Schizosaccharomyces pombe: one gene and its partner. The protein of the gene in region 1 purifies or fractionates together with the protein of each later gene. This does not show direct contact. Each region holds a gene or a part of one and is shown in the gene's direction. Other genes may lie near its edges.

Evidence for each region.
Region 2: the proteins of SPOM_SPAC24H6.13 (region 1) and ptr2 purify together in Schizosaccharomyces pombe (co-purification; one study listed by BioGRID). This does not show direct contact.

The regions. Positions count from the first base shown.
Region 1 is NC_003424.3:452,559-463,952, reverse strand, and holds SPOM_SPAC24H6.13 (Ca(2+) transporter), read left to right. Parts: upstream 1-4,056; 5' UTR 4,057-4,276; coding exon 4,277-6,892; 3' UTR 6,893-7,022; downstream 7,023-11,394. Other genes in the region: NEDD8-activating enzyme uba3, read right to left, coding at 680-2,014; meiosis specific arrestin family membrane adaptor Ste7, read left to right, coding at 11,034-11,394. UniProt on the Schizosaccharomyces pombe protein: Acts as an osmosensitive calcium-permeable cation channel.
Region 2 is NC_003423.3:3,404,364-3,415,341, reverse strand, and holds ptr2 (PTR family peptide transporter), read left to right. Parts: upstream 1-6,982; 5' UTR 6,983-7,649; coding exon 7,650-9,506; 3' UTR 9,507-9,767; downstream 9,768-10,978. Other genes in the region: protein Nca2, read left to right, coding at 283-2,004; ptk1 (Fbl-like pantothenate kinase), read left to right, coding at 2,630-2,735, 2,789-2,877, 2,950-3,966; bbl1 (phosphatidate cytidylyltransferase), read right to left, coding at 10,192-10,978. UniProt on the Schizosaccharomyces pombe protein: Uptake of small peptides.

The DNA.
Region 1 (11,394 bases):
CTTGTTTTATTTAGGCGGATTTAATAGCTGCTGAGCAAATACTAATTCTGTTGATGTTATTGCTAAATGATATCGCTTGTTTTATTCCGATGAAAATTTTTGAAAATTCGGTCGTTAAAAGTCATGTTTTTGCAACATGAATCAAAATAATTGTTTATGGAAAAGTAATGTCGCAAATGCCTAAACAAAGGGCAGTGCATGTTTTTATCACTCAATGACAATGCTCGTAGCAATAAAATTAATAGCATAAAAAAAGGCAAATAAAATTAACTTAAAGCATTTGATTTACTTTCTATTTTGCAATATACTTTGCACATTGCATGCTTATATATGCTAAATACCTAACTGTATGCATACGTTTCGTGTTTGTTGTCTGTTGTAGATTTGTAATTTAGAGTTGAATAACTTTGATTTGGTTTAATTGTTTCTTTTTTTAAAATTAAATAAGATCTTTTCAACTTATATATTTTTTTTGAGATGTCGTTAAACTGAAGACATTGAAACAAAGTTGAAATGACATAACTATAAATAAGCAAGGAATTATAGTAAGGAGCGTGAAGCAGATTCTCTATCTCTTTAGTGATATCTCTTTTCAATTTATAAGTATATTGAAATGCAGCGAAACTGCTATTCTACACAAAAATATCCACAGTCTATTAGCGATTGATAAACATCAAATCTAGCATTCTCTCAACTGAACAGACAAACTTGTAGAAAGATTTTTATCAGTAATTACAAGGTTCACATCAACCGACGTAATACTTAATATAGGTTGAGATAAATTTTTAGATGTCGCAACTTGAAGAGCTGGAGGTGAAGCCAAGTACAGAGGGGTTCCTGCAGCTGTTGAAACCGAAGGATTTTGTAGATTATAAGATTTAGAATAATGATTTAAAATATCCTTTAAAGTAACGGTAGATGAGGCTGAAATATCATAGACTTCAGACAATACGCCGCAAACAGGACAATCTGATCTCTTTTCCAAATTAAATGTATATGTATACGCTCCATCTTCACCGACATACATCATGTAATTATCCAAAAACGGATTGCTTTCCGTCAAAATTTTTAATGCTTCGTTACAACAGCTCGCGGCAATTATGGCATTTGTCGACGCAACCGCTGGTATGATACGCTTTACGATTCCTTGCACGAAAAAACGATTGATTGAGGAAGAGGGTATTTGAAATTTATTGGCACGTTCGATAGAACGTTTTACGAGCCAGTCAATATGTCGGATATTATCTGGTTCAAAATTGGAATTTTTTCCATCCAGCGGTTCAAAAACTTCTTGCTTAGAAAAACTATCAACTGAAGCATTAAGAAAAACTCGAGGCCATTCGAGTAAATATGCCCATTCGACGCAATGCTCCGGCAATCGAGGAGTATTCGCCAATGTACATATGGGATACGAAATCTTAGGCGTAAGCATGTCTAATGAACATTCATAGCAACTTGTTATCGTTGGAATGATTACTCGGGCTTGACCCTTAAGGCCCTCTGAGCCGCCATCGACCAACGGTATAAGATCTCCTGTCTTAGCAATGGCCACGAGAGTTGAATTGATCCACCGTCGAGCTTCTACTGAATCAAGGCCACATATAATAAGTTTAAACTCCTTATAGAATTCAATTGTTTTGTCTTGAATTTTCCCATAAAAAGGTGTTACTACCGTAGAAGGGATTCGTTTCATAATCATTGATGCGGCAACGTTGGCTTTCGGCTCATCAATGTTGCTTTCATTAAATAGAAATTGTCGATTCAAATTTGTAATGTCAATAGTATCCATGTCGATTACGCTTAAATCTCGAAATCCAGATAATGCTAAATCCTTTAAAATCTCGCATCCTAGACCACCAGCACCAATAATTAAGATTTTAGAAGAAAAGGCAGACTTAAGAGTTTCTTCAGGGTTTTCTGGAGCATCCAAGTTGAAAGGCCCTGGTTTTTTGAGACTTTGGATCCATCCAGAATGCCTGTGACTACCAGCTTTACATACGTCTGAGGAGGGCATCTCCTACAAAAAAATAATCGTTTTTTGAAGTATTTCTTAAAATTTCTGAGTCAAGAATTTGTATTCTCTATTAATGTCAACGAAATGCGTTGGAGGTTGGCTTTGTTCCCAATATTCGTTACATGTAAACAGAAAAGGAATTTGTGTATGAAAATACTCCAATGCTGTCAGGAAATATGGCTACTCATTTAATAAGAGGATAATGAAATGGAGTATGAAAGTTGGAAGATACTTTTTAACATGTAATAATGTGATATAGGTGTAAGTAACAGTCCTACCGACACACGCAGAACAGAAGAGTAACTGATTTCACTTCGTAATGACAATACTAGGTTACCAAAGCAGAATTAGTTGAATAAACGTCTTTTTTCATTTTATTTGAAATTGGCTTTTGTATTGGCATAAATTGACTAAGAATAAAAAGCTGATAGAAAAAATGGATATACTAACACCCCAACGCAAAAGCTCCATCCCACAAATGAGTTTGCATAGATTAATACTTGCTCTACAAATGCGTTGGATAATCTGATATTATTAATAAACTATTTGCGCATAGTTTTTGAAATTATTCAGGGCGAACTGGGTTGATTAATTTACGCAAACGTATACATTCCAAGAACGCATTTGAGCAAATGCAACGAATACGTAGCAAAAGAGACGTAAGTTATATTGGAGGAGTCTCGTTCTCAACTCATCTTCAGTTTACCTATATACTGGTGTTGTTTACAGTATTGCGTCTATATTGTAAAACGACAATACTCATCATTTTCTAGTATGGTTAAGTAATAGTCGAGAACAAAAGCACACGAGAACAGAGGAATGTCCGTCACATCAAGAAATCAAGTATTAATGAAAATGTTTCATCCAAGCAACCGATGGTTAAAATAGCATGAATAAACAAAAATCACCTTTTGCTTGAATAATTTTGTACATTTCTTTTTTATATAATTGACACTTAAACGTGTAGTTTAAATATTTCTATTTACATTTCTGCTGCATACAATATAGCTCGAAAATGTTGGTTTACATGTAAGTGCGAAACTATGACACATTTGAATAGAAAGCGAAGAAAAAAACCTTAAACCTAGAAAACTTGCAGGTAGAAAATGATTGCTCACATACGTATGTGATTACATATACTACAAGCATAGAATATTAAATTCTAAATTCCTTTTTTTTTTTACTTACACCATGCTCTCTCATATCATTATTACCTACTAAGTATATGAGGCTGTGTAAAGCCAGCTGTCATTTTCGTTGACATGATGTGCAATTTGGTTTTTCTTTATTGGTGAAATTTATGAAATCCGAGATTGACCTTTACAACACTTTAGCGCGTTCAATAACTGGCTGGAAATGCTTTATTCTGCGTGCGTACAAGATAGGGCAGCGAAATTTTTTTGGTGAAAAGTCCGGTAAAGACACTCGCTGTTGCTTAACGATGTCGTTTAACATGTTCCAATGTGTAAATATTACACTCCCGACTAAGTCGATGGTGGCTTTTTGTGTGACATGAAACCGAGTTAGCGAATGATTGTCACATAAGTGAAAGTCCGTGTTTTATGAAATTATTATCTCAATTTGAATTATATCACTAACACTTGTACTTCACTATGTCCTTAACAACCAGCAAGAATTGCATGAGTTCGTTATTGTGCGAAAGAAGGATGATTTCGTTTTTCTCTCTTTTGCTAGTGACTAACTATGTTTATCCTTTCCTAAATGAATCCTTTTAACGTTATCATAATTTTGCTTCGGTTCTTATTTTACCTGGGTGTGGGATCTGCCTGTTTTACAATAGCAAAGTGACATGTATGCGTCGCAGTTTCAATATTTGTTTACATCTGAAATTGCGAGACGCAAATTCACGAGATTGGACAGTGTTAAGGGAGAATAGGTGAAAAATGCTGGTAATATCTAATTCTGGCTTTGCATTTGCCAGCGCAATATCGCCAATGTAAACAGAACCTCAAGGCTTTTTAATTGGAGATGAGCATTTACTATTAAAAGTCCATGCACCATCACTTGCATAATTTTCTTTCGCCCACTACCTTCTAAGTCATTAGGATTTTTTCTTTTCATTGTTTTAATTGCTTTATTAAACAACAAAGAAGGTTTTCTACTGGGGGTTTGGATCATTCTTTTAAAACTTCCGGTGTTGTGTGTATCTTTCACAAATCTACCCAACTCAACATCGCACCATTCTCTCATTTTTCTTTCTCCATCTGCTGATCGTGTCAAGCGCAACACTCTTTTGACAGTATGTCCGACAGCAGCAGTTCTTCTACGTCGGCGTTCGTATCATCGTTAGTCTTCAATTTTGCTATCTTTTGCGCCTTCATCGGTCTTTTTTTATGTTTGCGTCCTCGCGAGAAACACGTTTACCAACCTAGATGTATTATAGATACTCAACCAAAAGAAGAGAAACCAGAGCCTTCCCCCTCTAGCCCTTTTGGTTTGTTTGCTTACGTTGTGAAACGCTCTGAGACATATCTTATCCAATACGCTGGTGTGGATGGTTATTTTTTTATTCGCTATCTCTTCACATTTGGTGCCCTTTGTATCCTAGGCTGTTTAGTTCTTTTCCCCATCCTCCTTCCTGTAAACGCAACAAACGGTGTGGGTGAAAAGGGATTTGATATTCTTTCATTCTCAAACGTCAAAAATCATAATCGATTTTATGCCCATGTTTTTCTCTCTTGGTTGTTTTTCGGTTTCACCATTTTCATAATATATCGTGAGCTTCGCTATTATGTTATTTTTCGACATGCCATGCAATCTTCAGGTCTTTATAACAATCTTCCTTCTTCCTCTACGATGTTGCTGACTGAGCTTCCAAACTCAGTTTTAAACGATGAGGAAACTCTTCATGAGCTTTTTCCAAACGCTTCTGAGTTTACATGCGTCCGTGATCTCAAGAAGCTGGAAAAAAAGGTCAAGAAACGCAGTGACCTTGGAAACAAGTATGAGAGTACTCTTAACAGCCTTATTAATAAGTCTGTTAAAAAACATAATAAGCTTGTCAAAAAGCATAAGCCACTTCCTTCAACCTTGGATTATACCGCTTACGTGAAGAAGCGTCCAACTCATCGCCTTAAATTCTTGATTGGAAAAAAGGTTGATACTATTGACTACTGTAGAGACACGATCGCTGAATTGGATGAGGTTGTCGATAAATTACAAACTTCACTCGAGGAGCGCAAAAAAGTTGGTTCTGTGTTTATCAGATTCCGTAGTCAAACGGACTTGCAAACTGCTTATCAGGCCTTCCTTTACTCAAAAAAGTTTAGAAAATACCGTTTCGGTCGTGCTTTGGTCGGCATTGCTCCAGAAGATATCGTTTGGTCCAATCTTGACCTTTCTATGTACACCAGAAGAGGCAAAAAGACTATTTCAAATACTATTCTTACTCTTATGATTATTTTCTGGGCATTTCCAGTTGCAGTAGTCGGTTGTATATCCAACGTTAACTATCTTATTGAAAAGGTTCATTTCTTGAAATTTATCGACCATATGCCTCCAAAATTGCTTGGTATCATTACAGGAATTCTCCCCTCTGTTGCTCTCTCCATTTTGATGTCGCTTGTTCCACCGTTTATCAAGTTTTTAGGAAAGTTTGGCGGCGCTCTTACCGTTCAAGAGATTGAAAATTATTGTCAAAACTGGTATTACGCATTTCAGGTCGTTCAAGTCTTTTTGGTAACTACAATGACATCGGCTGCTACGTCTGCCGTTGTACAAGTTATTAAAGAACCAGCATCTTCCATGACACTACTTGCCAGTAATCTTCCAAAGGCGTCTAACTTTTACATTTCATATTTCCTTTTGCAAGGACTTTCAATTCCTGGAGGAGCTTTATTGCAAATAGTAACATTACTTTTGTCGAAAGTTTTAGGGCGCATATTCGATAATACACCTCGAAAGAAGTGGAATCGCTGGAATCAACTTTCCGCACCTAGCTGGGGTACGGTTTATCCGGTCTATTCTTTGTTGGTGACTATCATGATTTGCTACTCGATCATTGCTCCTATTATAATTGGATTTGCCGCTGTAGCATTTGTTTTAATTTATTTTGCATATTCCTATAATTTAATTTATGTCTTAGGGCATAACGCTGACGCAAAGGGCAGAAATTATCCTAGAGCTCTTTTCCAAGTATTTGTCGGTCTTTACTTAGCAGAAGTCTGCTTAATTGGCTTATTTGTTTTGGCTAAGAATTGGGGCGCTACCGTACTCGAAGCCGTATTTTTGGGTTTTACGGTGGCATGCCATCTTTATTTCAAATACAAATTTTTACCTTTGATGGATGCTGTTCCAATTAGTGCTATCGAAAGTGTTTCCGAGCGACCTGAAATTAAATATCCAATGGACCTGGGTACGTCTGAAATGAAGAACGTGGGTCGTGCTTATCCCGAAATTCTGGAAAAATTGTCATCATCTTCTGGAAGTGATGAATTCTTAGAAACAAGTAGCAGAACTTCGGAAAATACCAAAGAAAAAATAGATAAGGACGACGAGGGCTTTGCTATTACGAATATCTCATCTGTACATAAAATGCCTAGTTTCGTTTTAAGTTATTTTTCTGACCTTGCTGCTTCTAATAGGATCCTGACTGGATTCGATCGTGTTTTACAATTACTTCCTTCATTTTACGATATTCCTGTGCGTGTACGTAATGTACAATATGTGAGTCCTGCTTTGAAAGCTACACCACCATCAGTTTGGATTCCAAAAGATCCTCTTGGATTGTCGACCTATGCAATTGAGGATGCGCGTGGAAAGGTGGATATTTTCGACGATAACACAACATTTAATGAGAAGGGTAATCTCCAATATACTGGTCCACCTCCCGACTACGATGAGGCGATCAGGAGTTAAGGCTTAGCCAACTTTTATTTGAAGTTGTTTGGAAACATGGGGTGGTAGTATGTTTCCAATCGTTTTATTATTTATTTCGGTTTTTTTTTTTATTTTAGGTTTTAAAATTTGCATGCTTCCTTTAATAGCCATACTAATTTATTATTATTGGAATTTACCATCCATTCTGATCATAGTACTGCAATGTATTCTTAGTATTATTTGTTGTTGCTCTCAGCGAAACAAAAAGTCTCATCACATTGAATGTTGTAAATGTTTCGCTAAAATTTGTTGCATCTACTTCAAACCAGAGGTTGTAAAACGACGCATTCGATTATTTAAAAAAAAAAAAAAACGGAAAGTGAAAAAAATATTACGGATTTTGCAATGATCAATGTTAATGACTGAGCTAAAAAATGAGAAAAAAAATAAAAGGAACCTACAGCACCCCGGATTCCCATGTTGTCTCCAACCATAGTACTAACGAGGCCCTCAGACGCTTAACTGCAGTGATCGGACGGGAACTGGTGTTTTCACCTAGGTATGGCCGTAGACAGCACGTTAAGTAAAATATAGAATTTATAGGAAAAAGAAATTTTAATTTTAGTTAGTTAATATTTTAAATTCAGGCTTGCAAAATTCCTGAACTTTGGAGTATATTTACATGAGCAATTTGATCCTTATAAGAAAATGAATATGGAGACATTAGCAACCTTCTAAAGAATAACGGGAGATGCGCTTTCAGGTTTCATTTATGTTAAAAAAGGAAAGTGCATACACGATAAAAACCAAAATAAGCAAATATCAACGCACGTGCTATACAGATGTGGAACGAAACTTAAGTAGAACAAAATGGTAGATACTTTAGTTGATGGTAATCGTAATGATAAGATTAATTTGATGAAAGCTTTATTTTTTTTGGAATGTCAATTTCATTCACTATCAGACAAAGGTTGTCTTTACAGTAGGAAATTTTTAAAAGTACAGCTAGTGGCTACTAAAAGTCAAAATTAAAGGATCTGCCTTTGTATGTATTACAAATTTTCCTATTACCCTGGGAAAATTTTAGATAAACAAACGATACTCAAAGAAAAAAAAAATCCTTTGTGCGTAAAACATTGAACCTTTGCAATGCTACTGATTTTGTTTGAAACCCGAGATAAGATACGAAGGTTGCTATGAGAAATAATGGTTTCGTTCATAGTACAAAAAAATATAGCCTTCAAAAAAAAATAAAATTGATTATGTACATTGTTTCCTAAATAAGAACAATATGGACGTTGTATTCATTGATTATTTGATTCTGGCTGATTGTTTTGCTATTGTTGACATAAACAAGCTATTAAGAATAGAGGAGCAAACTTACTCTGAGACCCTATGTGGGGGGAAATTTATCCATATACTACTACTCCCTTGCCAAGGGACCAACTTGCTGAACTTGAAAGATTTCTCACCCCCACGTAGACTTTATTCACCCACTTTAGAACCATCCCTTCTATATCTACAGTCTCCTACTTGGTGCATCTTCCTCGAATCGCATCCCCCACTTGGAACTGGTAAAAAAAAGTGGGGCTGCAACTTACTCATGATAGAGTAGAGTGCCTAAACTTCCTTATACCCCATCCTCTCTCAATGCATTTGCAAAGGAGTCCTTCTTACTTGGAACCCCTCCCCCGTGATTCAATCTAAACAACCGTGCCCCGCAAAGCACCTGTCGTGACATCACCAGAGTGGAATAAGAAATATCTAGTTGTTTATCCATGTTACAACTGTGCTGCATTTGTCATAGCGATGTTTAGTGGCAGCGATGGTTGTTTTTCATATACCCAATTTCCAGCAACAACAGAGAGACACTGAGAGAATGTGGACGGGCGTTTGTTTGAGAAGAAAAGGGTTACCACTTTATGCTCTATGCTTATTTAGGAAATTGTGGACATGTATAATGCTTAGAATAAGGTGCCTCCAAAAAAGTAACGCGGGGAGGGGCGGTTTCCCTTTCTAAGAGACTTTGACTATTGATAATATCCGAATAGGTGATTTATGCATGCAAACACAGTATGTGGGAAAACTTTTTGACAAAAAAAATGAAATCTTGCGTGTGGCCACGCAAAAAGATATCGAGATGCTGCGAGGTTGATCAACAAAGAAAGCGAAATCTGATAGGTAAGGAGGTTCAAGGCATGATGTGTTTGCAAAGGAGTGAAATGAATGTATTAAAAAAGTACCAGCGTTCGCCAACCGAAATGCGTTTGCATGGGAGACTATTCCTAGGTGTTAACTGACGGGTTTGTTTGCATTTCAGGAGTCATTTGTGCTTGTTCATTTACATTGTACCGTGTTTGTCGGCTTTCCATGGTATAACGTGAGCATTTGTAATATGTAGGCGTTATAGTATGTAATGAAACGGTTACAAAATGGCGTGTAAGAAATTCAACAGGGTATTCATTTTTTTTTCTCTTATTTTAAATAAATATAATTATTTTTTATTTAAAAAAGAATTCGTACGAATGGCGCACGAAAAATCAAGTGACCTTTGTGTCGGCAAACATTTTGCTTCTCCACGAAAAGAGAAAAGGAAAGTTTTCGCATACTATGAGGAATGTTTGTTCCCTCGGACATGAGCTTGAGTCTCCGTAAGAAGTATTTCTCTCTTTCATATTTTTCCCATCTGTCTATTTTATTTTTATGTTTTTCAGTTTCTTCTTCTTCATCTTCTAATTTCTTTCTTTCTTTCTTTCTTTCCTCTTTCCGTTTCTACTTCTTCCAAACTTTTACTTATTCTCATGTCTTTTTCCTGCCTCGCCTATTCTTACATTCTCTCTCCTCGCTTCCCCTCGATCCGTACTCCATGTGCGTAAATCTCTTTAAGCGCAATCCGTTTTTCTTCCCAAGCTCAAGCCCAATCCCGAGCTAAAACCAAACTGAAATTTCTTTACTCCCTTTTACTTCTTTAAAGCAATTCTCTTCTTTCTTCTTCATACCCTTCGGAACCTCTTCTTCTTGAAATTCCCTTGTTTACTCTTCATTCTTTCAAATTACCAAGTTGACTAGTTGCCATTGCCGCAATCCTTTTACTATTCGGAGTGCCTGCAACCGATCTCGCAAAACTCGCTTTCTTTGTTCGTAATCTCCAAACTCCGCTCTTGTTACTTTGACCGTTGAAGTGTGCATCGCTTCCATTCGTGTAGCACATGATAAGCTATCACTTTACTCGATGCTTTGTACTCTTTATCCCTGGTACCTCCTCTACTTCAAATCTTTCCCATTTACCGTTACTCCATACACCCTAGGAGGATCGTTGTCACATTGATTTACAGGGTTTATCAAGGAGTCATCGTTACCCTTTGTTGCTTGTTTGCTTGCTTGTTTGAGTGCTAGCCATGCTGGGATTAGCATGACTCAATCCAATCGCTGGTTGTATTGTTGATTTTCTTTGTTTGAAAATGGAGCAAAGCCCAGGTATACCCCTCTCGCATCACTTACTTTATATAAATCGTGTTAGCCCCAAAATTGGAGTCGCATAAATCATTAGTATTTACATTTAAGTTGTGTCAGGCACAGCAGCAGTATTTTTAATTTTTTCCTTCCTTCTTTCTTTCTTTCTTTCTTAGTATATCTATCTCTGAATATACTTGGAATAAAGCAAAAGCTTCGATAAGTTAAGATATAAAGGCTTATTTTGTAATTTGTTTTTTTTTTTTTTTTTTTTTTTCTCTCTCTTCTTCTTCTTTTTCTTTTGCTATCTCTTCTCTCCTCATCTAGCTCAATTCAGAAGATTACATGTCTATCTACTCCGCAGTCTAACTATCTCTATCTGTTTGTGCGTTTCGTTTTCTGATTTTTGTTTTAGCTGTTTCTTCAATTTCCAGCTTTTAGACATTATATACTTTACCTTTTTGTTGTCGTTCTTCTTGTTTACAAAAAGAAAATCGAGTTCTTGTTATTAAATTTTTTATTCCAAGATTTAGTGTTTAGTGTGTTTTTTATTTCTTTAAAATCTCTCTTTCTTCTTTCACGTTCACGTTGATTTGACTATTCCTTCTCAACATCTCTCATTTTCTTTATCCTTTCCCCTCTCCTCTTCTTATCAGAGCAATTCCGTTTCTCTCTTCTCATTTTTACCAGTCCCTTACTTACCAATTTCTGTACTTCCGTACCCATCATGTTTTTGGAAATAATCCTAGATTCTGCGACGTATAGCTTTGACCGTGTAATCACCGGAAAAATTTGCTTTGAAACAAATGCCGCTACCTCTCCTCGTTCCTTTCAAATTCAACTTCGCATCAAGGGTTATGCTGTTTATCATCATGGTTTCTTGTCTTCTCCTTCCCATAAACATCCAACAACTGCTTCTGCCTCCGATTCCGATGAAGCTACAGAAATTTTTACTCATTCTCAGCCTCTTCCTATACCAGCAGGTCCCTCTTCAAAGTCTCATGCCATTGACTTCAAATTTAAATTTCCTTCTAAATCCGCCTCGTCTCTTCCTTGTTCCAAGTCCAATGATTCCATGGTCAACATTT
Region 2 (10,978 bases), on another chromosome or scaffold:
TTTCACCAGCAAAGTAAAGTCATTTGTTGGCATGGTTAATGAGACCAATGATGTTTCCTACGAAAAATGTGGTCATACAAAGTGCTTGACGTTTTCCGAGAACTACACCCATTTCAAATATCATATATTTTAACTGACTATTTTTTTTTGTTTTAAATGCCCAAATAATTCTTCAACTATAGTGAATGCGTGTTTGCATATCTAGAGAAGTCATTATATCTAATATCTTATTTTTGCTTTTGAGACTGCAACAAAACGGGTGAATAACAACAGTTTGGCAATATGGAACTTTATCAAAAACATTTGAAGGATGTATATGCAAATTTTAATAAGCTTGCTGCGGTGCATGGAGAGACCACTTCCAATTCAGTAACATTTCATGTATTTCAACAATTGGATTCAACAAACTTGACAAATTATCAACTAGAAAATGTTATTACTCAAGTGAAGGAGCTAGATAAGGGACCAAAAGATTATCTGTATTGGGTAATATTGGGGAGGTGTTCAGCTCATTTACACGTAAAAATGCTAGATCAATTGTTAGAAGAAGCGATGATTATGTCTGATAACCTTCATTATTGGGAAAGCATCGATAAAAATTGGTATTCAAGGGTTTTATTCCTAATTCAATCTTTTCCTACTAGACTATATCACATTTGTCGAAATTCCATCAAATCAATTCTACAATTTCAAAATTTCTCTAATATTTTTGCTAAAAAAAATTTGTTCCCTAAAGTTTCTAAGTCGGATGTCCTTCTTTTTCCCCGTGATGCTTTCATTTCACAGGCTAGTTTACTTTCTCTCATACGACATGAATATCGTGGCAATGCAAAGCGACTTCGTCAACTTAGGGACGAGCATGCTTGCAAAATTGGATGTTTAACTCGTGCAATTATGAGTGAAGGAGTTAGTGATGCTGCTTCATCAAGTGGTGATAAAAATGGCATTTCAGCAAAAGCTGATTTAAAACAAGTTGTTTCCCAATGGATCCAAAGACTCTCACAACTGCAAGGGCAGAAGATTGACAATTCAGAGTCTTTGCCAGACATTCTTTCAATAACATTGGATAATCTGAGCCATCCAACAGATGAATATTTTGAGGCTAAAGCCTATTTTCGTCCAAGTGCAATAGAACGAAATTGGCCTAAAATTTTCGTTACTTTACTTTCCGCTTGGCTGTCAACCCAAATAATTACAAAAAACAGAACCAGCATACGTCTATGGATAGATTATCTTTATTCAACGGCTGTAGATTTCTACACTAATTGGATTCAAAAACCGATTTTAGGAATATTTGACACCATCCGCTCTAACAGGGCTGACTCGCAAATTACTTTGTTGCAAACCAAAAGTTTAGAAAGTGATATGGAAAGTTTACAGAGAATGGTGATTGATTTTGTATCCGATACTTCTCCTGCTGGTATAAACTTGGATTTGGTGAAACAAGAAGTACAGCAAGGAGATCTTACGTACGTTTTGCAAGCATATGAACATGACTTAAAAACCCCGATTAGAACTGCCGTTTCGGGGAATCTAGTTCGGACACTGCTTATTCAATTGCAAAAAACAAAAGTTGACGTCGAGGTAGCATTAAGTGGTATTGATCGACTATTAAAAAGTCAAGAGCTCGTCTTTGCAACAGTTGGAATAACCCCTAGTCTTATATTCTGCTATGTTATTATCAGGTATGTAAAGGCCAACATTTTCAACAACGATACTCTTTCAAGGGCAGAACGCCGCCAACGATTTAGACAATCACTTCGTGCTGCCGAACGTATTTTGGTTCGGTCACAGAAAATGAATTCTTTAGATGATATGAGTTATGGACTCTTGGTTTTCCAGGTTAACTTGATGGCCATAATGTCCATGGATATGGGTCTATCTAAGGATGTTGCTGAAGACCTACTTCAGGATCTCGAAGACATACAGTCAAGCTCATATGGTGTTCAAGCACAACTACGGGCAGTTGATCGGATTTACCGTCTATTTAAAAACAGTATTTAAGCACTTTTATTTAATGTTTCATACATGATTTTCATGAATAATAACAAAATTTCGGTTAAAAAACGTTTGATGTTTAGTGGAAAAAGATTTGATATTTACTTTTTCAGTTTTTCCATAAATGCATCATTTCCACCAGTCAGATTTCCTAATTTACTTTATGGTATTGCTTATTTGAGTTTACAAATGATGAAGCAGAATCTTGTTGAATTGCTAATCTGATGATTTGTTGTTATATAATCAGGAATAACATTCTTGTAAACGAAAATTTATAACAGTATGATTAGTAATGCTAGTATTATGAGCAAGGCATTGTCTTTTGCTACTGTTAATCACCTAAAGATAGGCTTAGATCGCGCACATTATGAAGTGCTAAGTTATGGCTCCAAGCTCCCAACGTACCCACACGTGATATCACCCGACTATACTATTTCTCTATATACTCATTTTTCCATTTAGAATACCAAAAGGAAACCTGGGTTTATTCATTTATTAGATTGTTGTTGTTTTGATAGAAAGTAAAAGGGAGTACTGTGATTAACTGCGTTCATTTGGCTTAATACGTGTTTTGGGTTATCAAAGATTGGTTTAAGACCAAGCAACTTTAATCAATTATATTTTAAGTACTATGAGTGAAACAGAATGCGGAAGGTTCAGTACAATTAGCAGAGAAACAATATCAAATGTTGAGCGGCAGTTATCTCAACCTCCTTCGGTATGGTTAAATCTGACAGGTAAGCAGAAGTTTAGAAATCATTCATTTAAATCGCTTATTAATAATTATTAGGTGCACGGATCATAGAGAATGAAGGACAATTCGATAAAGACATTGCCTTACCTAACAACAAATCACATGTAACTCATATTGCAGTTGATGTACGGTAACAGTTGGACGGAGGAGAGTTTTTCCAATACTTGCAAGCGTTGACATTGCTGACACTTTTCTAGATTGGAGGTTCGTTAGCTAAAGTAATGTACTATGTTTGTGAAAGCAGTTCACCTAGTTCTTCTTCTTCAAGTATATCTGAAGCCGAAAACTATACGGGTGGTAGGCTTTCGTTTATGATTTTTGAAACAGCAAAGATTGAAGATTGTATTCAATTTATGGCGAACTTAATTGACAATCACGTTAAGAATTGTAACAAAAAAAAGATTACATTGATAGCTACTGGCGGTGGGGCATATAAATTCTACGATAGGATGTCTAAACAATTGGACATCAAGGTTATTAGAGAAGATGAGATGGAATGTTTGATTATGGGCCTTAACTATTTTGTTTCGTGTATACCAAGAGAAGTTTTTGTGTTGGACTTGGATACGTGCGAATTAACATTTCAAAACCATCTGAATTGCTATCATTACCCGCACATGCTTGTCAACATTGGGTCGGGTGTCAGCATTCTTAAGGTTACTGGTCCATCACAGTTTGAACGAATTGGTGGTTCGTCTTTAGGAGGGGGAACGCTTTGGGGATTGTTGTCGTTGTTGACACCAGCAAACTCGTTTGACGAGATGTTAGAGTTGTCCAAGGGAGGAGATAACACAAGTGTGGATATGCTTGTAGGAGATATTTATGGAAAGGATATCGGCTACGAACGATTTGGACTAAAAAGCACCACTATTGCTAGTTCATTTGGAAAAGTGTTTCGTGAAAGAAAACCGTTGGAAGAGTTTGCGCCTCAGGATATTTCCAGGTCTTTACTACTGGCCATTAGCAACAACATTGGGCAAATTGCTTATTTGCACGCGCAAAAGCACAATGTTCAAAACATCTACTTTGGCGGCAGCTTCATCCGCAACCACGTTCAAACTATGCACACGTTGACATATGCCATTCAGTATTGGAGCAACCATACCATGAATGCATATTTTTTAAGACATGAAGGCTACTTGGGGGTGTTTGGAGCGTTCATGAAGTATGCGACCTCTCAGCCCAGCAACGTTCCTGTTCCCTCAATATCGTAGAGCTTCAATGAATAGCAGCACATAATGACTAGAACAAACAAAATAACTTTTGATAAATAAAAAAGGTACGACAGGTCACGCTATAACTAGTAAACAACCATTAAGTTACACGTTATTACATTATTAAAGTATTCCGTAAGAGATGGACTCTATATCTGATCTGAGGATGTCCGTCCGTCATTCTCGCCTACACGGACACGAGACATTTCAATGATATGATAGTAAGATAGGATGGATAGAGAAGGAAAGAAGAAGTCGGAAGAGACAGAGCAAGGGGTTAAGCAAATTTGCCCAACACAATACGCGGTCGTTGGAGTTTATCTATAGATTTAACGAATGTTCGATAAAAACAAGGGTCGGAATAAAAAATGACGAGAAGAGAAAATTAAGTGATATGACATTTTATCAACGGAAATAGGAAATACATATGGGTGATATGCAGGTACCCGAATATCAAAGAAGGAAACAGTAACCTATGTTTGAAAGAAGACAATTCGTAAATGAAACCCTTCCTTACTTATCATTAAACTAGCGATACTTGTTGGACTTCATAATGCGCGTCTCTATAGACGTTTGTTACTTTAAAAAATCTATTAGCAGAAGGATCAATTGATAAGACGAGAACGACTTGATGTTAAGTAGGCGCAAAGAAAACAAGCATTATGGACGGCTCAATGAAATAAATAATTAACATGCAAAAAATATAGAAAAATGCAATGTTCAGTTTATAGCACTTAGTAACAAGTGTTGCGAATTTTTTCCAACTAGTAGGTAAACATGCATTGTTAACTCTATGAAAACACTGGAAACATTGGTTCCGTGAAACTTTCGACGGAATCAAAGGGGGAAAAGGTTTTTAACGTGAAAAGTATAGTTCAAATTACATGACGAAGAGGTGTGGTAGATAAGTTTTAGAGAGCGAAAAAAAAAAAAAAAAACCAAAAAACCAAAAAGAGGTCAAATTTTTTTTTTCCTTTTCTCTCCTCTCTCCTTTTCAATTGATAAGGAATGGGCATAGAAACAAAAAGCAATTTGTTTAAAAGTTCATAAATTCAAAGGAGAAACATCTGCCAAAGTAGTATCAACTTGTGCACCGACGACGAGATAGAAAAGTCAAGTCAGAATCAGCAATGCTAGAAGCATAGATATCGATGTGACATTGCATACTCCTTCGTTATTGGGGATTTATTTACTAATGCTATCAAACTCAAGTTTCTTCAAAGTTATCATGAACTTACTATAAGAAATCTGATTCTGTGATAGAAGATATCGTTTGGAATTTAGGGTATACTATCTGTTGCTAATTTGCATACTTTTTGAAGTCTTGTGCCTCGCCTTACACAACCATCTCGTTTGCTTGACGGAGGGTAGGGTATCGCTGCATAACGAGTTGGACCATTTCTTACTAGGCTTTCCCGATACTTTCAGCAATCTTGCAGCATTATGGTTTCATTTGGCAAAATGAGGGAAAATGGGTGCGAAAAATTGCTCATACACCAACAAGTCCGTTTTGGAGTGTGATATGTTCATTTCCGTGACAGTTATACCCACTACTATTAATGCTATCACTATTCTTCCTTTCTTACTTTACTTTACCTTACCTACTTGTTGTCGTCCCTCATCATCTTTGCGACAATTCATGTGGGGGTAGGCGAACTAGTCGCTTTTACTATCTCTGCCACCCACGATGTTTACCGGGTTCGAGGTTCTTAAAGAGAAGACCTTGTTTCCTCGTGCACACACCGTGCTACAGCAGACCACTCACCATTCGCATACATAGTTTTACCTTGGTGAATCGCCAGCGCTAATCGCGGAATACCCGGGGAAGGAAACAAGAGAGAAGAGACACGCGAACGTGGTGTAAAGGCCGATGTCGAGAAGAAGGAATGAATTCAACGGTTAAATAAATAAATAAAAACAACAATGTAACACTCATCAAACGATTACATAAATTTAATAAATATGCAAAGTATTAAGAATCTAACAAATATGTAATTATTATTAATGAGCAAACTACAAGTAAGCAATGAATACAACTCAACCCTCAAACCTCTAAAATTATTGAAAAACTTCGTTCACCTGTATGTCGTCGTGAGAGAATAAGAAACGTAGAGGATGTGTTTGTAAATAACAATATGTATGACAATACATAGACAGTCATCTCTTTTCTACCTTTTCCCTCATCCTCATCCATACTCATATAGTAACACTTATACCTTTTACTCTCACTTTCACATATACTAACTATATTGTCTCACATTCTTTCTATACCTCTCCTCACTCTCATTCTCACTCCTGTAGTGAAACTTCTATTTTTGGCACTATAACGTGCTACTCGTTTTTTCCATATGCTCTGCACGTTGTGCTCTTGACCATTTAATTCCATGCACCCCACTTGGTACCCAATTTCATCCCCACTTTTTCGGTCAAGTACGACTTTCCACTTCAACCATGCGATGTGGTGGCACAAAAGTCCTAAATGGAGGTACACGAGTTTTTTCTATCGTTAAGCAAAAACACGCAACTGAACAAGTGCGCAATCCTTCCGCATGATAGTGGAGTAGATGAAAAAAACGGCATCACACGAAGAAATCCAAGCTTATCTATTTCCAGCGGATTTACCAATTTTCACCCCTTTTTCCAACAGGTCACACGTTGTGCGATATGGTTACTCCTCGTGCATTTTTAATCAAATAGATATTCCGCACTAACGTTTTTGTCCGAAATAACATTTGATTTATCCAATCAACCATCAAACCCACCTTTCACGCATTGACCTTAATTATTAAAAATGTGCAGTCTAGACCGGTCCTCCCTCTTTTTTGATTTATCTGTAGGGAAGATAATAAACTTTTTCATACCACGTTTCCTACATTTACGATTTGTCTATCGCCTATCGTGCTTTGCTCACCGTCATTGATAAAGGCGTGCATGAACACGTGGTGACTGCTAAATCAGTGTGGACAAATTTCATTTTCAGCAGTATTTATACTTGAAAATTATCCCCTCAAAAGACATCCTTCGTCGTGCCGTCTAGTCTGTGTTTTAGAAGTAAGAGAAATTCAAAAACCTTGAGTGGAAACTCCTCATCGTTCGTATAATTAATCGTTTGACCTCTTTTGTTTGGAGTTGTGACTTTCTCCACACTTTCACATACATACACTTTTAATTTCCAAGTATTTATTTAATACATTAAGGAAAAATTTTTTCATTCTAAAAATTTTTCTTTTTTTATTATTATTGTCATAAATACTTATTTGTTGTTGTGTATATTTAATCTTGTTTTAAATACCCTTTCTCACTCTCACTCACTTTCATATTTCTTACTCTTAGTTGAGTTAGTCGGCCTTCGATACACATATAAAAGTGTTTATTTTAACTTTTTTGTGAATTCACTTGTCAATTTTGTGTAATTAGTTTGACTAATTATTATTATTATTATTTTTGATCTATTCTTTTTTTTATCTTTTGTACTACAATTGTTTTTTAATCTTTCGCTTGTTTACGTTATTTTTCTCTTCCTCTTTTTTTTTTTTTAATATTCGCCTCTTTTGTTTTCTCGTTTCATTGTAATTATTTTATACCCAAAAATTGTTCTTGAAACTTCTGTTCATTCTCTTTTTTATTATTATTTTTGATTTTCATACGATCGATTTCCTACATTCAATTTACCTGTGTTTACAATGAGTAGCATTGAAGAACAAATTACGAAATCGGACTCCGATTTCATCATTTCAGAAGATCAATCCTACTTAAGCAAGGAGAAAAAGGCTGATGGTTCTGCCACCATCAACACCGCTGACGAACAATCCTCCACCGATGAACTCCAAAAATCCATGTCCACCGGCGTCCTCGTCAATGGTGACTTATACCCTTCTCCTACCGAAGAAGAATTAGCCACCCTTCCTCGTGTTTGCGGTACTATTCCTTGGAAAGCCTTTATTATCATTATTGTCGAGCTTTGCGAACGTTTCGCTTACTATGGTCTCACTGTTCCCTTTCAAAATTATATGCAATTCGGTCCTAAGGATGCTACTCCAGGTGCCCTTAATTTAGGCGAAAGCGGTGCTGACGGTCTTTCTAATTTCTTCACATTTTGGTGTTATGTCACCCCGGTTGGCGCTGCACTTATTGCTGATCAATTCCTTGGTAGGTACAATACCATTGTTTGCTCTGCTGTCATTTACTTTATTGGTATCTTGATTCTTACATGTACTGCTATTCCTTCTGTCATTGATGCCGGAAAAAGTATGGGTGGGTTTGTCGTCTCTTTGATCATCATTGGTCTTGGAACCGGTGGTATCAAATCCAATGTTTCCCCCTTGATGGCTGAACAGCTTCCAAAAATTCCTCCTTATGTAAAGACCAAGAAAAATGGTAGCAAGGTCATTGTTGACCCCGTCGTCACCACCTCTCGTGCCTATATGATTTTCTACTGGTCAATTAACGTCGGTTCTCTCTCCGTATTAGCCACCACTAGTTTGGAAAGTACTAAAGGTTTTGTTTACGCATACTTGCTTCCCTTGTGCGTCTTTGTTATCCCCTTAATTATTTTGGCTGTTAGTAAGCGCTTTTACAAGCACACTCCTCCCTCCGGTTCCATCTTTGTTCGTGTTGGTCAAGTGTTCTTCCTTGCTGCTCAAAACAAATTTAATCTCGAAAAAACTAAACCATCTTGCACTACTACTGTTGGACGCGTTACGCTCAAGGATCAGTGGGATGACTTGTTTATCGACGAATTGAAACGTGCCTTACGCGCCTGCAAAACTTTTCTCTTTTACCCTATCTATTGGGTATGCTATGGTCAAATGACCAACAACTTAATTTCTCAAGCTGGACAAATGCAAACGGGTAATGTCTCTAACGATCTTTTCCAAGCCTTCGATTCAATCGCCTTGATTATTTTCATTCCCATTTGTGACAATATCATCTATCCATTATTGCGTAAGTATAACATCCCTTTCAAACCCATCCTTCGTATTACTTTAGGGTTTATGTTTGCTACTGCTTCCATGATTTACGCTGCTGTTTTACAAGCAAAGATTTATCAAAGAGGCCCTTGCTATGCAAATTTTACTGATACATGTGTTTCCAATGACATCAGTGTTTGGATCCAAATCCCTGCTTACGTTTTGATTGCTTTCTCTGAAATTTTTGCCAGTATTACTGGTTTAGAATTTGCATTTACCAAGGCCCCTCCTTCAATGAAATCCATTATTACTGCTTTGTTCTTGTTCACCAATGCATTCGGTGCCATTCTATCTATTTGCATTTCTTCTACTGCTGTCAATCCTAAGCTTACTTGGATGTACACTGGTATTGCCGTCACTGCCTTTATTGCTGGTATTATGTTTTGGGTTTGCTTCCACCACTATGATGCTATGGAAGATGAACAAAATCAACTTGAGTTCAAGCGTAATGATGCGTTAACGAAGAAGGACGTTGAAAAGGAAGTTCATGATAGTTATAGCATGGCAGATGAGTCCCAATACAATTTGGAAAAAGCAACTGCTGAAGAGGAAATCATGAAAAGCACATAATACTTAATTTAACTTAATTCGTATTTGCGGGATGCCAATTTTTCTTTTCTTTTTTTTTTTACAAAATTTCCCAAAAAATTGGGGTTTGCATGTTTTGTTTCCATCTTTTTTTTTGTTATGATGCCGTTGTTCTACTGATGCTCCTTATTTAAATGCAGTAGTACTTATCCACTCTCAGAAAATAGAGTTTTACAGTGGGTCTATATACCAGAATTTACTACAGTGTGATTTAATGAAAATATATATTGCTGTGCATAATTTAAAATATTAAAGAAAGTATCAAATATGTTGAAAATAAGAAATTCTTTAGCGGTAAACAAAACTGTATGTGTTGAGACAAGAAACTGTTTTTTAGTAGAACCGACGTGAGATTAGTCCAATAATCAACTTTTCTAAGCGTTTGCGAATTAAGCTAGCTCACTTAACCAACCTGATGACAAAAGTTTTTGATGAAAACTAATTCGGAAAATGTCAAACAAAATTTTTAAGGTGAAAAACTGAAAATTATATAAAGCAAACGAACGACTAGATCTAGTTTGGAGTTGACTAAAAATTAGACATGGGATATCAAAACTTCCAAGCAATAACGAATGACTAACAAACGGAAGTCAAACTATACATGACAACGCATTTAATAATATAAAAGACTGGCTAGTAAACAAATACGAGGATAACAAAGTGTAAGCTATTTTGAGTTTTGAAGAAGTTTGGAACAAATAGCTTGAACACTAGTTTTGCCATGACTGATGAGATAGTTTTGTAAATCTTCAACAAGTTGCACTTGCTGAGTGGTCGTGAGGCTATAAACTGCTGTATCCAATAAATCAGCAACAGATGTACTCTTTTCTGCAATAAATGATTGGAAATACATATAAACGAAGACTCCATTTAAAAACTGGCAATCCATTCTGTCAGTTAAACCACCATGCCCCGGGATGGAAGCTCCAAAATCCTTAATTTTAAAAGCACGCTTAAGACCACTAGCAAAGAATCCTCCGAAAGGGGCAATTAAACTCGAAAAGGTAGCGAAGATAGCCAAATGGAAATATATAGGAGCAAGAGTAATTGTTTCAGGAAGTCTAAAGGTATCGACAAAAACAGCTGGAATAGTATAAGTGTGAGGAAGAAATACAGAATTTGGAGTGCAATTGAGACCACTGAAAGCAGAAGTAGATAAGTCACGAGTGGGACAGATAAAATATTTGAAGTGCATTAAAACATAGCTGATAAGAGAACCAATAACTACAGTACAAATCCATCCTCCTAAAAAACCTTCGACAGTCTTCTTGGGGGAAACTTGAATAAGCGGATGCTTGCCAAACATCTTACCACACAAATACGCGAAAACATCGTTGCATACAACGTAGCAAACAGGGACAAAGAACCAAAATAAACCTTCAAACAGATTGTTAATCATAAAATGGGACTGTCCAACTACTAAGAGTAAAGTCATATGAGTCCAACAGAACTGA